Caenorhabditis elegans: one gene and its partners. The protein of the gene in region 1 interacts with the protein of each later gene in a pairwise test. Each region holds a gene or a part of one and is shown in the gene's direction. Other genes may lie near its edges.

What was found. The genes of interacting proteins can lie anywhere in the genome.
Region 2: the proteins of mpz-3 (region 1) and ugt-11 interact in a two-hybrid assay, tested with the Caenorhabditis elegans proteins (one large-scale study listed by BioGRID).
Region 3: the proteins of mpz-3 (region 1) and F37C4.5 interact in a two-hybrid assay, tested with the Caenorhabditis elegans proteins (one large-scale study listed by BioGRID).

The regions. Positions count from the first base shown.
Region 1 is NC_003280.10:6,562,596-6,567,945, reverse strand, and holds mpz-3 (PDZ domain-containing protein), read left to right. Parts: upstream 1-2,549; 5' UTR 2,550-2,595; intron 2,596-2,625; exon of another isoform or gene 2,626-2,698; intron 2,699-2,792; coding exon 2,793-2,891; intron 2,892-3,074; coding exon 3,075-3,155; intron 3,156-3,204; coding exon 3,205-3,399; intron 3,400-3,443; coding exon 3,444-3,578; intron 3,579-3,627; coding exon 3,628-3,828; intron 3,829-3,896; coding exon 3,897-4,112; 3' UTR 4,113-4,152; downstream 4,153-5,350. Other genes in the region: dbd-6 (DB domain-containing protein), read right to left, coding at 76-232, 276-379, 423-540, 772-812; F18C5.5 (Vegetative cell wall protein gp1-like), read left to right, coding at 1,285-1,318, 1,678-1,744, 1,786-2,229, 2,279-2,402.
Region 2 is NC_003283.11:4,891,279-4,897,427, reverse strand, and holds ugt-11 (glucuronosyltransferase), read left to right. Parts: upstream 1-2,356; 5' UTR 2,357-2,479; coding exon 2,480-2,629; intron 2,630-2,675; coding exon 2,676-2,744; intron 2,745-2,787; coding exon 2,788-2,944; intron 2,945-2,998; coding exon 2,999-3,088; intron 3,089-3,605; coding exon 3,606-4,563; intron 4,564-4,622; coding exon 4,623-4,800; 3' UTR 4,801-4,840; downstream 4,841-6,149. Other genes in the region: ugt-9 (glucuronosyltransferase), read right to left, coding at 1-700, 750-839, 886-1,042, 1,089-1,157, 1,223-1,372.
Region 3 is NC_003282.8:3,870,522-3,876,052, reverse strand, and holds F37C4.5 (Protein F37C4.5), read left to right. Parts: upstream 1-2,246; 5' UTR 2,247-2,251; coding exon 2,252-2,401; intron 2,402-2,555; coding exon 2,556-3,881; intron 3,882-3,927; coding exon 3,928-4,122; 3' UTR 4,123-4,222; downstream 4,223-5,531. Other genes in the region: F37C4.6 (Pyridine nucleotide-disulfide oxidoreductase domain-containing protein 2), read left to right, coding at 78-339, 383-565; F37C4.4 (Transmembrane protein 196), read right to left, coding at 4,327-4,437, 4,614-4,792, 5,140-5,411.

The DNA.
Region 1 (5,350 bases):
AGAAAAAATACTACAGTTTGTTTTTATCAATAAATATCAAAATAATCTTCACAAATAACATAATTCCCGCACTAATCAATTATCTCCAAAAATATTAGGTCTCTTTTCAAGGTGAGAACGGAAACATTCGCGGATATTGTTGAAGTTTTGCATACAGAATACATGTGTCACTTGCTCATTCGGTACAGTTCCTTGTGCTGCACAGTATGGAAGACATGCCGGAAGAACGTTACTGAAATAAAAAAATAAATATCTACATTAAATAAAGTGAATACTTTTTCTTGCAACACTCTGTATGATCGGCTCTTGAAGATGCACAATCCCACATCAACTGCACAGTCTGATTTTTTGGACCACATGTGTTCAAATAGTGAAGCATCTAAATATATATTACATTTTTGAATTGAAATACTGATTCTTACATTTCCTTGGTGAATGGCTTCAAAATCACAGAACCTCTTTTTGCACATTTTGTCAGCGGTTTTCTGTCGAGCACAGCATGCCTTCAGCTTCTGATTGGCATCTCGTCTTGCAAGGCATCTGAGATATATTGTAATGATACAAAGGGATATTTTGAAGAATTGGATTGATAATTTCAAAAAGTTTTGTAAATTTTTCCCTTGACGATTTCTGTAGCTCAGCCAAATTTTTCAATTGGAGAATCTTTTGAACTAGATGATCTAGATTCCACTAGATGTTTTAGATGCTTCGGAAACTTTTTATTGTGTCAAAGTTTTAATTTAAAATAAAACTTTTTTCATATAAACTTACATAACGAATAGTAGACAGAAAAAGAAGACGCACGTTCGCATTGTACTGCGAAAATAAAAATGGTACGATTATAACAGTACCACCTCGAGTATCATCTATGTCCCGCCCATTATTTGAGTGTCCTCAAATTTGCATAGCATTGTTGTAAAACCATGTCACAAGTGGGATACTTTACAAAGTATATGTTAAAAATTGACAGCGAACACTAATGTTCTGAACAACATAGAATTAAATAAAAATCTAGCAAGTTCAATATCACGATAATCCAATATATCCCTGTTTGTAAAAACTAATGTTAGCTGAACTTTCATCTTATTGAAGACAGTGTACAAGTGGTGGATATCCATTGTCTTTTTTCATTTTCAACGGGAATTTTCATTGAGATTTCCACAAAATGATGGCTAATTGATAAGGGCAAAACGAGAAATCGTAGGAAGAAAAGTGATAAGAAGCGACGCCTTCGAGGCTTATTCTATCTTTTTCGTCTTCTCATTTTTGTGGAAAGAATCAACAATGAAGCTTCTTCTGTTAGCTGTTTGTGTCATCGGTTAGTTTTTCGATTGTTTCGTTGATTTATCCCTAAATTTAGCTCTAAATGGTAAAGGAAATATTTATCTAATTGGGTTAAAATATGTTCAAATTTGTTTTAAAAAATATTAAGAAAAATACATAACTAATTTATTTGACATATCCAAAACTTCTTAGTCATAACAATTTTACCCAATATGAATTCTGCTTGTACGTCAATAAATTGAAACGTTCTATAAATAACCAAATTTCGATTCTCATATTTTCTTCGTCTTGCACGAAATCGCAAAAAAAACCAGTCCAGAAAAATTGCTTCTATATAATTTTCAGTTGATCAATATATTTGACTTCAAAATTCAATTAATTTCAACATTTCAGGATTCGTTGCATGTTATGAAGTTGTACCGAGAGCAAGTGCTTTAAGACCGAGAGGAGATGTTCGAAGGTTTAACATTTATTCCATTTTTTCTTTAATCTATTCTTCAGATCACCCCTCCCATCATTATCGGCATATGCTCCTTTTGCTAAATCTCTTCGTCCAGCTTCTACAGGAATCCGACGTGCTCCAGCAGTTGTTACACTTCCAGCTCAAAAAGCTAATCGTTCAGTGAAAAGAGCTCCAGCTAAACCACTTCCAATGACACTTCCACTTCTTCCACCACTTCTTCCACTTCCACAATTCATTCCAGTACCTGTACCAGTCCTGTCTGCAGAAGGCCTTCCAACTCTTCCAACTCTTGCTCCACATACTTTCCCAACTTTCACTCCAATTCCTGGAATGCCAACAATGCCTGCATTGACAATGCCACCAAGTTTCCAACGTCTTCTTGGAATCACAACTACAACTATGAAACCAGCTGAAAAAGCTATGGAAACTGTTCAAACTGAAGAATCTGATAATGACACAACGTCCGAAGCTAGAGCTCATAGGTGAATTACTCAAATCAGGAGAAAATAATCTAATATTAATTAATTTCAGCGCCCCAACATACAGCAAAGATCTGAATACAATTCGTTCAAGACTTTCAAAGTTTGTAAGAGGAAGTGAAAAGAAAGTGACAAAAGCAGAAGACAACGCTGATTGGATTGTTCCATTCCATTGATCTCATCAAAATATAATAATTTTAATTAATAATAAATAATTTAATTAATTTAATAAATATACCCGCGTGACATCGTTTGAATTCGTTTTACACAGAAAAAAATCAGAAAATAAAAAGTGAAAAGAGAAACTGAATCAGTTTCAAATATTTCCTTGTCGACAGTTGCTTTCATCTTCGCATCAATCTATTCGGGGTAAGTTAATATTCAGACTGCAAAAAATCAAGCCACCTAGGGGACTCGAACCCCTGACCTTAAGATTAAAAGTCTCACGCTCTACCAACTGAGCTAAGGAGGCCAGCGAGTGCGCTGGGTCCAAAGGCATAGACGCTCGACTAGTTACAGGAGACGCGAGAGTGGGTTGCTGTGAGATAGACACGTACTATTTACAGATGGCAACCAACAACAATAGTTTTCATGTAAAAGGAAAAGAAGAAGTACAATTCGAACGGAAAAATGTGGTTGTAGCATGTGATGTGGTCAATGGAAAGGTAAATAAAGAATCCAACACAGGGCTCGCGTCGAGAGCCGAATAAAACTTCAAAAGCCCTGATGTGTAGAACAGTAGAACACTCTTTAATAAATAAGAAGTCCGGTTGCAATTTCCTTCGAGGCTGTAAAAAGACTCATTTTCAATTCAAAAATCGAAGAGATCTTGAATAATCACATTGCAGATTACATATGTGGATGTGAGTAGCCAACTGATGGGTGTTCTATTTGCTGGTGATGAGATTCTGAATGTCAATGGAGAAACTGTAAGGAATATTTTAAGATTTTCCGTTTCAACTAATCAAACATTTCCAGAACATCAAGACAACTGCTGACTTTATCCGTGCAATTAGTGCAAAACTTCCCGGAAAAGTGACAATTGAATTCATGCGAGACGATCATTGCCTTGTCACTGAAAAACCAATGCCACCACGTCGTCCAAATACTCAAATGGTTGAGTTGACTTTCACTTATCGTGGAGGTGCTGCAACAGGGATTATCATTCATAGAGTTAGTAATCAGGGACAATTTATACTTTCATGGATGATTTACAGATGGCAGTTGATCCAAAAACTGTGACTATTTCAATGGTTCAATCGGCTTCCAATGCGTGTCACTATGTCAAGGATGGAGATATTCTTGTTAAAGTTAATGACATTTATGTTCTTGATCGTGACTCTGCTAGAAAGGTATTGTAGTATTTTTCTTATTTTATTTTAGTAATTAACTTACTTTCAGCTTCTCTACGCGAGTGTCAACAACACAAAAACGGTCCGTCTTACATTGGAAAGATCCACAACTACTGATCCACTTGGTCCTGCTCCACCGCCTCCCGATGGTGCACAGAGCACACCTGCTGGAGTGAAGAAATCTGGAAATTCAGTGATGCTTCCTCCTCCAAAACCACCCCAAGGAAAAGCCAACAAGCAGTTTGATGTGGTCAGTTTGAACCCATTTCCTCTTATCATTTCATTTACCAAAACATGTTTTTATTTTCTTCTTTGCAGCTTCTTCCTCCTGATGTTTTGGAGATTATGAAGGCAAACAAAGATTTCTACAAGAAACCGTGCAAGAATCCTCCATGCATCATCAAAACAACCGCCGCATCAGCCCCTGCTCCAGTTCCAGCCACCTTGCCATCGGATCCTGCCCCAGAAGTTCGCATCCCGTACATTCCGTCTCCGAAGCCCCTGAAAATGACTCCAAAACGTGTGGGATCTTAACTTGAGAAAAGTGTTCGAAATAAAGTTTTCAAAAAGTGTTTGTTTGGTTGTTTACCGTTCTATCCATCCCTAACCTATGCCTAGAGACACAAATATTTACGGTCCTTCAACCTGTGATTTGAAAAAGGCAGGCCTAATTCTATTTATTGTTGAATGCCAGATTGGTTTCTCCTCGAAACCCTCATGAATCTAAAACCTACAGCTTTTACACATTATTTGAAACATTTCTAGTCTCACATCATCGTCCGTTTTTTCTTGCTCCTAGTTGTCTCACAGAGTTGCAAATGTTCATCTAGCAAACGTCTGCGTCTCTATGTCCTACTCACTATTTCCACTAGTTTTTCTTCCTGTCTCTCACTGTGCACGGACAGAGAGACGTACGAGACGGCCGGTGCTGCTTGGTACCGACTCTGTGCGTCTGGTTGTCCGTGTCCGTGTCCGCCCGCCGCTCTCACTCGCCAAAATATGACTGAGAATTGGAAAAAGGCAATGGATGAGAGTGTGTATCTGTCATTTCTGGATGCATACTGGCTCTCATTTTCACTTGATTCGGAGGGATATAGGCCATTTTAACCTAGTCATTCAATATACTCTCTCATTAGTTTACGTTCACTTGTTTGGAAATCCCATTAATTTAGATTTCAATTTTGAATTGCTAGCATTTTGAATCATTAGTTTTTAGCAAAGCTTCACAGTTCCAGAGACTGAGAAAAAACCCTCCATTTCAATACATCCAACTAAACTTAGCAACTAGATCTAAGTTTAAATAAAGAATACCGTACTATCAGCTGTAACACAGAGTTTACTAGGATTTATGAAGGATTTATGACTTCAACGGTAGACAGGCACGGCTTTTAGGCGCCTGTGACATACATTCATGCCCATTGCCTATTTTCTAAATTTAGCTGCGAACTAAAGTAAGGAACATGCTTGAAATTAAATTCCGATATAAAAAAGATTCGCGTTCACTCTAGTAGGCAAGCGTAGGCAACCTCAAAATACCTATAGGCAAGATGAAATTTTCTTACCGAACCACACATGGTTTGATTGCATCTTGGTATTTTTTGGCATTGAGAATGCCAATTCATATTTTAAAAACATGTTTATTCACTTCTACACAATTGTTTTCTTTTTCGTGAAAATTCTAGAACATCTGTTTCATAATTCTTCAGTAGAACAACAATTTCGAAACCAACAACCGTCAACCTACTTTAATCATTCCATGACTCAATAACCCC
Region 2 (6,149 bases), on another chromosome or scaffold:
GCTACTTCCATTGTACTTCCCAGTCCTCCATGGGTCACAAATAGTTTCACACGTTTGTCAGCAAGCAAAGAAGGCTGTGGAACCCATTTCTTTAAGTGAACATTCTTTGGAAGCCTATTCTGAAATTTCACGTCATCTTTCTCATACTTCCAGATAAATGTGACATCTGGAAGTGATTTGAACATCTTGATGATTCCTGCTTTGAAGTTATCGGGCATCTCATAAGATCTGATAACAGATCCAAAAGATATGAAAACCGTCGACTCTCTTTCCGCAAGAATGTTCTCATACTCTTCAGTTAGAGCCGCAACATGTCTCATTTTCTCCAAGTCAATGGTAATTCCACCAACATGAACAATGGTAGCAGTTGTTGGAACAGCAAAGTCCAGATATGAGTTTGAATTTGTAATGTATATTGGTGATTCTTTTACAAGATCTCTCCAATGGGGTACAGGGTGACCAATAGCTTTTTGGATGAAATCATTCTGGAACTGGCACAAACGTTGCGTCGTAAGATTCCAGAAGAAGATCCGGTACAAGTCGTTGAGCCTGTCGAGGAATCCTGCTTCAGGTGCAACTTTGGAGTATTGTTGTGGAAAATATCCAAGGATAGATGGCTGGCCAAATGCGCTGTCAATAATTGGGAGTCGTACAGCCGACATGAGTGGAATACTTGGAATTTCAAGAAGATCAGCTATATCTGAAAAATTTTACAATGATATAAAGGCGAATACTTCTTGAAAGCTTACAAAATCCTGCTATTTCGAAAGTTTCAGCCAGCAAAACATCAAAGTTTCTATTTTTAAGGTCGTTAAGGATTTTTTGATCTTGGAAAAGTTCTGGAAAAAAGTTTTATATTCTTACGATCCCTCTTGAATCTCTCACGTGTAGTAGTTTGTTCAAATTCTCCTCCAAGAGCTTTTGGCATGAGGAATGATGATAAAACTGGGTTATTCATCAGATGGGAATCCCAGAAATCTGGGAAAGTTGGAGTTTTCTTCTTCAAAAGCTCAGCGTAGTGATCTGGATAGTAGTTTATAATCTGAAAGAATTTATTTTCAACTGATTTTTTTTTTGGAATTCGTTACTTCAATGTTCTTATTTTTAATCAATCCATCTGTGTTTTTGAGGGCAATATGAAATGGTTGGAAGACTGTCTGAAATTTTCGAATTTTAAACTTTTTCCCACCTTCACCCTACAGAAAGCCTTCCGAAAACTTACAACATTATGTCCATGATCAGCTATAATATTAGCCAGCTGACTAACAAACTTAGCATGACTATATCCAAATATTGGGTTATAAACCAATATGTTTTTGCAAGAAACCAAACTAATAACTAATAGAATTGATAGCAAATTATTGGGCAACATGATTACATGACTAGGACAGATAACGTTTCTTTTATACAGCCACTGATGGAATTGATGTGCTTGTAGTTATCGTAGTCGCTTTGTAGGTTGTACTCAGAGAAAGAAGTTCATCTTCACATGTTCATCATAAATTATGATCTCTAGAGGGAGTTATCAAAAAGTTTGACTAACTTATTCTGACAGGTCTGTGATTTTGTTCATTTGTGGTTTGTTATTTTTCTGTGTCGCATAATATGTTCACAACTTCAAGTTTCTCTTTCTTGAAAATTCTAAATTTTGAACAAATCTTTTTTTTGAAGAAAAGCGTATGCATTTTTGTTTTGAAGTTTCAACTTTGAATGTAAAGTAGCTAGCATAAATTTCTGGTACTTCGATTTTATATGGTAGAAAAATGGATCGTAACAACTGAATTCAACTGAAAAAAAATTCTGAAAGTTTTCTCGGCAAATTTGACATACATTTTTGATTTAATTTTGTAATTGTATGTTTTTAACAAATAAAAAAAATAAAACCGAGAAAAAACTTACAAAAATGCCAAAAAAACGGAATAGTATAAAAAGGTGTGTCAGCTCTTTTTAATTTTTTTTTGTTCCAAAATTTTAACAAATTTAGTTTTGATTTTTCGAACAATTATAGAAATTGCATGAAAATACATTTTTGGTGTTTGAACAGTCAAATAAATTATTAGGACGTGTTAAAAAATAGACGAATTTTTATTCCAAGTTTTGGTATGAGTTTTCACAATTTTGTTGTGTTTCTACATTTTTTATTCATTCAAAAATAATTCAAATTGATTTTGAAAAACATAGCAAAGTGAATAATCTATAGTTCAATTTTTATTCATTCACATTTTTCTAGCTTTCAGTTTTTTTGGCAATTCTGTCGGTTGCCAACGGTTGCCAAATTTGAAAAACAAATGATGACAATTTCAAGAATTGTTTTTTTGCGATCAAAACTTTCCAGACTTGCCAAACATGACAATTTGTGTGATCTTTGCGCAATCGCAAGAGTTCACTGTCGGGATGGAGGAGAAGAGAAAACACAGGTCACCCTCTAGAAGTAGCAAATAAAAGAGTAGACAAGGTTGTGTTCACTTTATTTACTGCCATGAGGTTACTGACATTTTCTTGTCTGTGTTTTCTACTTAAAGTCAACTATGCAGCGAAAATTCTAATTTTTAACCCAATTTTTGGATTTAGTCATGTCAAATTTGTCAGTAAATTAGCAGATATTATTGCAGACCATGGGCAGGAAGTTGTGAGTTTTTTTTATTTAAAAAAATCGTTTTTTCAATTGTTTGCAGACTTTATTTCAACCTTTTCATCTTGCGCTGAAAAACTTGGATGGGATTGTGAAGAATAAAAATATTGAGGTTCAGCTCAATCTACCGTATATATAAATGTTAATTTTTTTAGATCATCAACTACTATCCAGATCACTACGATGATCTGTTAAAACTCGAAACTCAAACATTTCCCGATTTCTGGGACTCTCAACTGATGAATAATCCAGTTTTAATGGCATTTATGCTTCCTAGAATTCTTGGTGGAGAGTTCAAGAAAACTACAATACGTAAGATTTTTTTAAATTTAATTTGAATTTAAAAAATGAATTTTCAATTTTCAGAGCTCATAAAAGATAAAGAGATTCTCAAAAAGCTCAAGGATAAAAAGTTCGATGTTGCCATTTCGGAAACTTTCGAGCTTACTGGAATGTGTAAGTGATAGATTTTGGATTAATTGAAGCAAATTTATTAAAAAAATCTAAATTATAAAGCATTCTAACTTCAAAACAAACTCACAAAGTCCATTAGTTTACAAAAAAAATTGAATTTACCTGTTTTCCTCAAAAGTTTCTCATACAATTTTTGATTTTCAACTATTAACTTTGAACAAACTAACTTTTGGAACGTATAAAAAATTTGAAAATCAAGAATCACCACTGAGCAAATATTTAAAACTAATTTTAGAAAGCTATAAAATATTATGAACTAAGTTTATATAAAGTTTCAAACAATTTTTTTGAATATAAAAAAAAAATCGAAAACTAGTCTTAAGACTTTATTTTTTCTGAATTCTTCAATTTTCTGAAACTTATTTTTTCTCTATTTACCCCTCTTTTTTTTAAACCGAACGTTGACTGAAAATTGCATTTCTAGAGTATAATAAAGAGATTTAGTAAATTTAAGCTATTTTGAAATTATTTATTCGATAATCCATCTTTTCAATTTCAGACATGTCACACTTCCTGGGAGTCCCTTGCATTCCGATACTCTCCGCTGTCCGCCTTGACATTTTCAATGAAGCATTTGGACAATCATCAGCTTTTGGTTACCTAACACAACAAGGCTCCAAGTTGGCACCAGACGCTGGATTTCTAGACCGACTCAATGATGTGTACCGTGACTTCTTTTCTAAGATGGCATTCCGAGGAATGGCTCAATATCAGAATGATGTCATCGAAAAAGCTGCTGGGCATGTAGTACCATATTGGAAGGATCTTGTAAAGGAAGCGCCGGTTTATATGACAAATTCAAATCCATACTTGGACTTTGCGGTTCCAACAACTGCAACTATTGTTCATATTGGTGGGATCACGATTAATTTGGAGAAAATGAATCATGTCGATGCGTTACCAGAAGAATACGAAATAATCCTAAAAGAAAAAGAGACAACTGTATTGATTTCTTTTGGATCTGTTATTAGATCCTACGAAATGCCTGAAAACTTTAAAGCAGGACTTATCAAGGTGTTCGAGTCACTTCCAGATGTCATATTTATCTGGAAATATGAGATAGATGACTTGGAATTCCAGAAGAAACTCCCAAAGAATGTTCACTTGAAGAAATGGGTCCCCCAGCCTTCTTTGCTTGCTGACAAACGTGTCAAGCTATTTGTAACGCATGGAGGACTGGGAAGTACAATGGAAGTTGCTTACACTGGAAAACCTGCTCTGATGGTCCCGATTTTCGGAGATCAGCCCATGAATGCGGATATGCTTGCCAGGCACGGAGGAGCTATTGCATATGATAAATTTGATTTGGTAGATGGGAAAAAGCTGACTGAAACTGTTCGAGATTTGGTGACAAATCCGAAGTATGAGCAAAAGGCCAAGGAATTGCTAGATGTGCTCACCAATCAACCAATTGATCCAGTAATGAATTTGATGAAGCATTTGGAGTTTGCGATAAAGTAAGCTACAGAAAGATGTTTAGTTTGAAGCAAGAAAATAATTTTTAAAAAAATTTCAGATTCCCAAATCTGCGATCTCAAATTCCTGAAATTAATCAAGTTGGACCAATTGCTCATTATTACCTAGATGTCATTGTATTCCTAATTTTTGTATCAATTATTACAGCTTACATCAGTTTCCAAATAGTTTGCCGAATTTTATCTAGAATTTTGAGTAAGAAGGTGAAAAGTGATTAGTCTCCCTATAAGATCTCGTTAATAAATTGCTTTTATTCATTCGAATTTGTTATGGTTTTGAAATTTGAATTTATAGATTTTTTTAGAGAACTTTTTTTTTTGGCATTATGCAGAGCAAGCAGTTGCCGTTCGGCAATTTACCGGTTTGCCAAATTGCCGGAAATAATCGATTTCGGCAAATTGCCGGATATCAATTTGCCGGAAGTGTTTAGAGGGATTTTTCATAAGACAGATGAACTTAAAACTGTGTCTTTTTGAAATTTTTTCCCAGTTTTTTCTAGATATTTTCATAGAATTTGCTTACTTTTCAAAAAAAATGAAGGAACATTCATAGGATTTTTGCCGGTTAAAATTGAAATTCAGAAACTTCCAAAATAAAATGTGTAAACCCACAATTTTTTATTGCCGTTTTGCCGTTTTACCGGGAAACTTGACAAATTGCCAATTTGCCAGTTTGCCGATTTGCCGGAAAAATCGTTTGCTGAGCACCCCTGATGCAGAGATCCCAATTGGTACATTAAAAACAGTTAATTTGTTCCAAAAACGTTAAACACTTCCGATTCCAGTTTCAAAAAGTCAAGAAAACTGGGCATTACTGTTTTTGACAAATTTTCTAATTGGATTAGTAAATTTCTAGTGATTCTAGAACAGACTGTTGGGGTCACAAGAAATTCACATGACGAAATAATTTTTGATAGGGATGTGAATTGACAGGTTTTCTTGTTCAAAAAACACAAAAAAAATTCAAAACAAATCGACAAAAAAACTACTAAAATTCCTTGGCAACAAAAGTTTTTTTATTACAGTACTCTTTAAAGGCGCATGCCTTTTTGCAGTAGAAAAAATTGTCGTGCCAAGACCGGATGCCGTACTACTGGCGCAAATATATATTGATTTCGAAAACAGGCATGCCTGGTTATTAAATAAAATTTTAATTGAGAAATAAAAAAATCACGCAACTATTTTGCTCCGAATTCAAATTATTTCCGGTTTTCAATAATAAGAACAATTGCTCAACGAATTCTAGTTTCTTGTCCTCTGCTATTTACATCACAGTCAATATCCTTCTCATACACGATTAGCTGAGCAGAAGTCGTGCAAGAAGTCAAGCAGAAGCCTATGATTTGCCAACACTGTAACCGCCTTAATTGTGTTAAAGATGAAAGCTGGTTCGCTAGAAAACTTGGAAAGTTTGAAAGAAAGTTGAAAGCGAAAGAAATTTTATTTTACAGGAGGCGTTTTTCGCCGAGATCGCTTGGGTGAAATTTAAATATTGGGCACACACGTGGAAGGGAATGATTGAGTATTGAAAATATAAGAAAGTTGAATTGAAAAATAGACGGGAGAAA
Region 3 (5,531 bases), on another chromosome or scaffold:
CTGACAATTTGTAAAACCCCTTTTAGAATTCATGATACCATCATTCTCGCCATAAACTTCAATTCAAAAGTTTGCAGACCAGTCATCGAGATGACAATTCCCTCTTCAGTCGACCGAACCATTGTGGATAGTGCTGATGGTCACGTCGTCCTCCTCTTTACCCAGTACACTCCCTTCTCACCGAAAGACGGTGAATGGACGGAAGAAAAGAAGACAGAATACGCGAAACACGTCTTCTCGGAGATAGACGCTTATGCACCGAACTTTTCATCAAGTGTCATAGGCTATGACATCTTGACCCCACCCGATATTCAGAACACTTTTGGGATTACTGGAGGGGTAGGTCCCATTTTTAAGGCTCAATTTTCAAAATTTGCTTCAGAACATCTTCCACGGATCTATGAGCCTTGACCAGCTGTACGTGTCCCGCCCGATCAGCAAATGGAGCAACTACTCAACGCCCATCGAGTCCCTCTACCTCTGCGGAAGTGGTGCTCACCCGGGAGGTGGTGTGACTGGAGCCCCCGGTCGGTTGAGCGCACTTCATGCCCTCAAACATTTCTAACGTTCTAAGTCTCTTCTCGCGGTTTTTTATTGTTTTGTTTGTCTTGCGCCAGTGACTCATAAAAACATTTCCAACACCATGATGTATTGCAAAATGTGTGTTTCGAAACTGCTGAGGAGACGACGAGGAAGTGATCTTTTGATTCACGATTTAGTTGCGGTGACCTTTGATTTTTGAGTGATTTGGTGGAATTAGAAATGTTAAGCGGGAAATCTTCAGAAAATTATAGAAATTTTCAAAAATGTTCGTAAAAGTTTGGGAAATAATTTCAGATTTTTAAAAAGAATTTACGTATGTATTTTTCTTTGGATTTTAAAATTAATTCTTCAAAAAATAGTTGAAATTTCTATTTAAAAAAAAAAAGAAAAACTATATCCAATTTATGTTCATACCTGAAAAAAAGCAAACATTTGTAATTTGGTATATTGAAAACTGTCAAGCTTTTCTATTTTTCAGGTTAAAAATCAATTTTCCACAGATTTGTCTTGAAATTTTCAAAAAAAAAGCTGTGGTTCTGTAGTTTGTGAAATTCGTATTTTTATTGAGTAGTCTAGTGTGATTTGTGCTCCCAGTTTTACAGCTCCTTCCGCAGGATCTTTTTTCGCCAACACAGCAAGTACGAAAACTCATCGCCACTTGGTCAAAGGTTGAACTCGTCTCAGTTTCGAAAAAAAAACCGAGAGAAACTCATCGGAACACAACAGAATGCCGCCCATCGCTTGATTTTGACCTTTTTCTTGTGTTGTCTGCTGCCTCTTGTGAAGAGATAGAGAGACAGCGAAAGAAATGCCAAAAACTCGTATAAAAGAGCGGCCAAAACGCCACAATTTGTTAGTTGTTGAGAGGAGTGTTTCCCTCAAATCTCTATGGAGATTTTTTTTTCGGGTTTCCCATGGTTTTCTGATCGTTTGAGCTTTGCTTTCCGCTTTTTCTCTTACATTTTTACTTTTTTAAGGCTTTTTCAAAACTAGAAAACTTCTCGAAATAACATACGAAAAATAAGATTGCGAAATACGTGAAATATCGTATTTTACTCAAAAAAAATTATTGGGAATTCGATTTTTTTTTTCATTTTATTTCAAATACATTTTCTGCCAAAATCGCAGTTTCCTATATTTTTGGTGAGTTCCGGGGAAAAATAGCTTCAAAGCTTTATTTCCATTTATAAATAGCTCTAGTTTGCAAATTTTTTGTCTAAAACGAGCGAAAGTAATGACATTTTTCAATTTTTTTTTTTCGAAAAAGTTCGGATATTATTGCGAAACTTGAAATTTCGGGAATTTTATCATGAAACAATTTTTTAAATTTGTAATTTGTAGTATTTCACAGTATTCTAGCAACATTTAAAAAATGTGCGAAATTTGAAAATTACGTGATTTTTTTTGTTGGAAAATATCAATTTCTGTATTTTCTAATTAGATTTTTCAGTGTTTTGCAAGATGAAATTTTAATTCAAAAAATCGTAGTTAATTTTGAACATTTTTGATCTACGTAAAAATGAACACTTTCAATTTCTGTTTGTTTCTTTTTTGTGTTGGGAGAAATTCGGAAGTTGCTTGTGTTTTTTTTTTGTTGAAAAAAAAATAGAAAATAGTCAGTTTTGTAGAATTTTATTTGTTAAACTCTCGTCTTAGCCTCACTTTTTCAAATTTTCCCTTGAAATTTACCTCAAAATTTCCAGAAAAAATGGCTCACATCGTGCAAACTCACAAGCTCACCCTCCATGACGTCGCCATCGACCAGGCTCTCGTCTACAGCTCCGACTCGAACTGCGCTGAGCTCAAGAGAACTTTCCAGGTCGAGTTGGCTCATGGCTACAATGAGGTTAAAGTTCAGGTGAGTGAAGGGCTATAAAATACGAGAAAAAATAATTTTTTTTTGCATTTTTTACTGCTAAGCAAACAAAACCATCGAAATTTCCAATATTTACCTTACCTGTCAAAGTTAAAGTCATAAAAACACTCACACAATGTGATAAAAAAATTTTCAGAACCTCCCATTCGACCTCGTCCAGGACTCGATCCGTGTTTCCGGAGCCGGCGAAGCTGTGATCCACGACGTCTCCGTCAAGAACCAGGAGGGTGCCGAGTTTGTGATCCCGGAGCGGGTTCTCGCAATTAAGGCGATCTTCGAGGAAAAGGAACGCGCCAAGGACAAGGTTGCCGATAGCCGAGTTGCCGTACAGAAGCGCATCGAGGGACTTGACAATCTGATCACCGAAGTCGCCAAGCACGGAAAGGACGGCGCCTTCCATTTTGACGGGCGCACAATTGAAAGTCTCAACGCCCTCCACGGATTCCATCAAGACACAACAGTGGATCTTCGCGCTCAGATCCGAACCCTGGATCAAGACCTGCGAAAGGCCGAGGAAGAGTACGCCCGTGCTAGCCAAGACTACGACAATACCGGATACAGATGGAGAAACTCTGCTCAGTATGCCAGTATTATTGTTGAGTCAGAAGCCGGTGGTGCTGCACAGCTCACCATCACCTACCAAGTGAACAACGTCTCCTGGACCCCGTTCTACGACATCCGCGTCACTGCTGGTGTTGAAGCTGAGATGCACGTCACCTACTTCGGAAAGGTCCGTCAGTACAGTGGAGAAGACTGGAAGACAGTGCCATTGGTGTTGTCAACCGCAAGACCCGCTCACGGAGTTAAGCAACTTCCGAAGCTCGGAGCCCTCGAGGCATCGATTGTTGTGCCCGAACCAGAATGTAACAGAGGTGGAAGAGGAGGTTATGGAGGTGGTTACGCTCAGGATTCAGTGGTGATGGCCTGCGCGGCTCCGATGATGGAAATGGGTAGAAGTAGAAAATCCATGAAAATGTCCTATGCGGCTGTGAAGTCCAGCAACATTGCCTCCGAGTTCAGCATTGGCCGCCCCGCCACCATCGACGATCGCACCGACGAGTACAAGGTGAACATCGGACAATTCACACTCGACACCAAGCTCTCCAACGTTACCGTCCCATCCCGTAACGCCACCGCGTTCCTCGTCGCCAACTCGGTCAACACCTCCGACTACCCACTCGTCGCCGGTCAGGCATCGATCTTCCTCGACGGAGCATTCGTCAACAAGACCGAGTTCGAAGATGCGGTCGTATCGCAAAAGTTTGAGGTGTCGTTGGGCGTCGACCCGAACATCCGCATCGAGTACAAGCCTGTCAGAAACTACCAGGAACAGAGCGGAACCGTCGAGAAGATCAACTCTCAGGTCACCGAGAAGACCACTGCCGTCACTAATCTTCGCCCCAACTCGGTGCTTCTCACCATTCGCGAGCAGTTGCCAAGATCCACAGATTCTAGAATTAAGGTAAAGATTGAATACATAAAAAGCCCCTAAATTTCCCATTTTTCAGGTCCACCTCAACACCCCAGAAGCCGTGGAAGTCGACGAGGCAAGCGTCGAGCCAACCGTCGGAGCCGCCATCACTCCGGAGAAGATTCTCGACTACACCGTCCAACTTGCGCCAGGACAGTCCAGCACTTTCGTCGTCAAGTACACTACCGAGCACCCACAGGCTGAGCAAATTCGCTATGAGGAGAAGTTCTGAAGTGCTTATGCGATGATTTTTCCGCTTTAACTTGATCTGTATAATTTATAAATAATTCCTTTAATGTCGCCAAATATGTAAAATAAATGTGTAATTTCAGAATTTATTGATTTCTTTGAGACACACAGAATGGATTGAAATGATGGAATTGACCCGTTTTGAGCAACAAATGGAATTGGAATTTAGAAAAAAGAACAAAAAAAATCACACGATATGATAACCCTTATCTTCTGGATTGCTGGTTGGAGGTCTTGCATCTTTTTTGTCACAGCTCTTTGCTCGGCTCAATCGACGGCGCAGAGATCTAGCGCGTTTCTGCAAAGGGTTTATGGAAATTTCTGGAACAAGGTTCGATGCACCATGTGATTTAAGAGCTTTTTTGCATTTGTCAAAAAGTTTTCAATTGGCGAAATAATTAAAACACGTTTTCTTAACTTTGCAATATGTAAATTGGTAATAATTTTAAAAGTAAACGAGGTTTGTCAACTCACTGCAATTTTCTGCACTGGCTGATAGCCGGTGGTGTTGGAGTTCCAATAATGACAAATCATGACAGCGGTCAAGATGAAGCACACTCCAAGAGCAACTGATGCCAAAAGCATGAAACCGGATAACCCGTTGCCGATTGCCGTGCGGACTTTCATTTTTGAGTAGTGGTCGAGCCAGATGCCTGAGAAAAAAATTAATTGAAATCCCATACCTCGGTTAATTTTAAAGGAACAGTGTATAAAGTTAGCTAATAATTTTTATAAAACCAAAGATGAAGTTTTCGTTGCACCATGTTTGCCTGATTTTGAGAGTTGATATCTCAGTTCTTTTTGGTTTTATCCAAAAGTTATTGACAAACAACTTGTTGTATCAGTTTCTATGTTCAACAATGCACCATGAAGAAAAATGACATTGTTTTAGTTTTACTCAACTTTAATGGATATCAAAAAAGTATAACTTTGTTGAAAAATTTCTGAACAACTTTCAATCTGATCGAGATATAAGCCATTCGGCAAAAAACTCTCTTACCTGTAGTAATCACAGCTAGCAGACTTCCGACAGCCGACATGATACAAAAAACGAGCCACAAGATTAGCATGGTCCTCCACCGATATCTATGCACAGCGCCCAATCCCATGGCTCCGGTGAGCAAGCTGACAATTGCTGATACCGTATTCATATGGCACGTGGATTGGTATTCGGCTTCTGTCGGGTAGCCGGGGCATGTGGTGCCATGAGCCAAAAAGATGAGCGAGATGAGGATCTCCGCGCGGCACAGGTGCACCATTATTTGGGCGTATCTAAAAAAAAGAACTTTAGGCATGGTGCATCGGCATAAAATCGGTTTTAAAAAATTTCGCGAGCCCACACCTTCATTTTGAAGCTATCAACTAATTTTCTACTGTAAAAGAAGAAACATA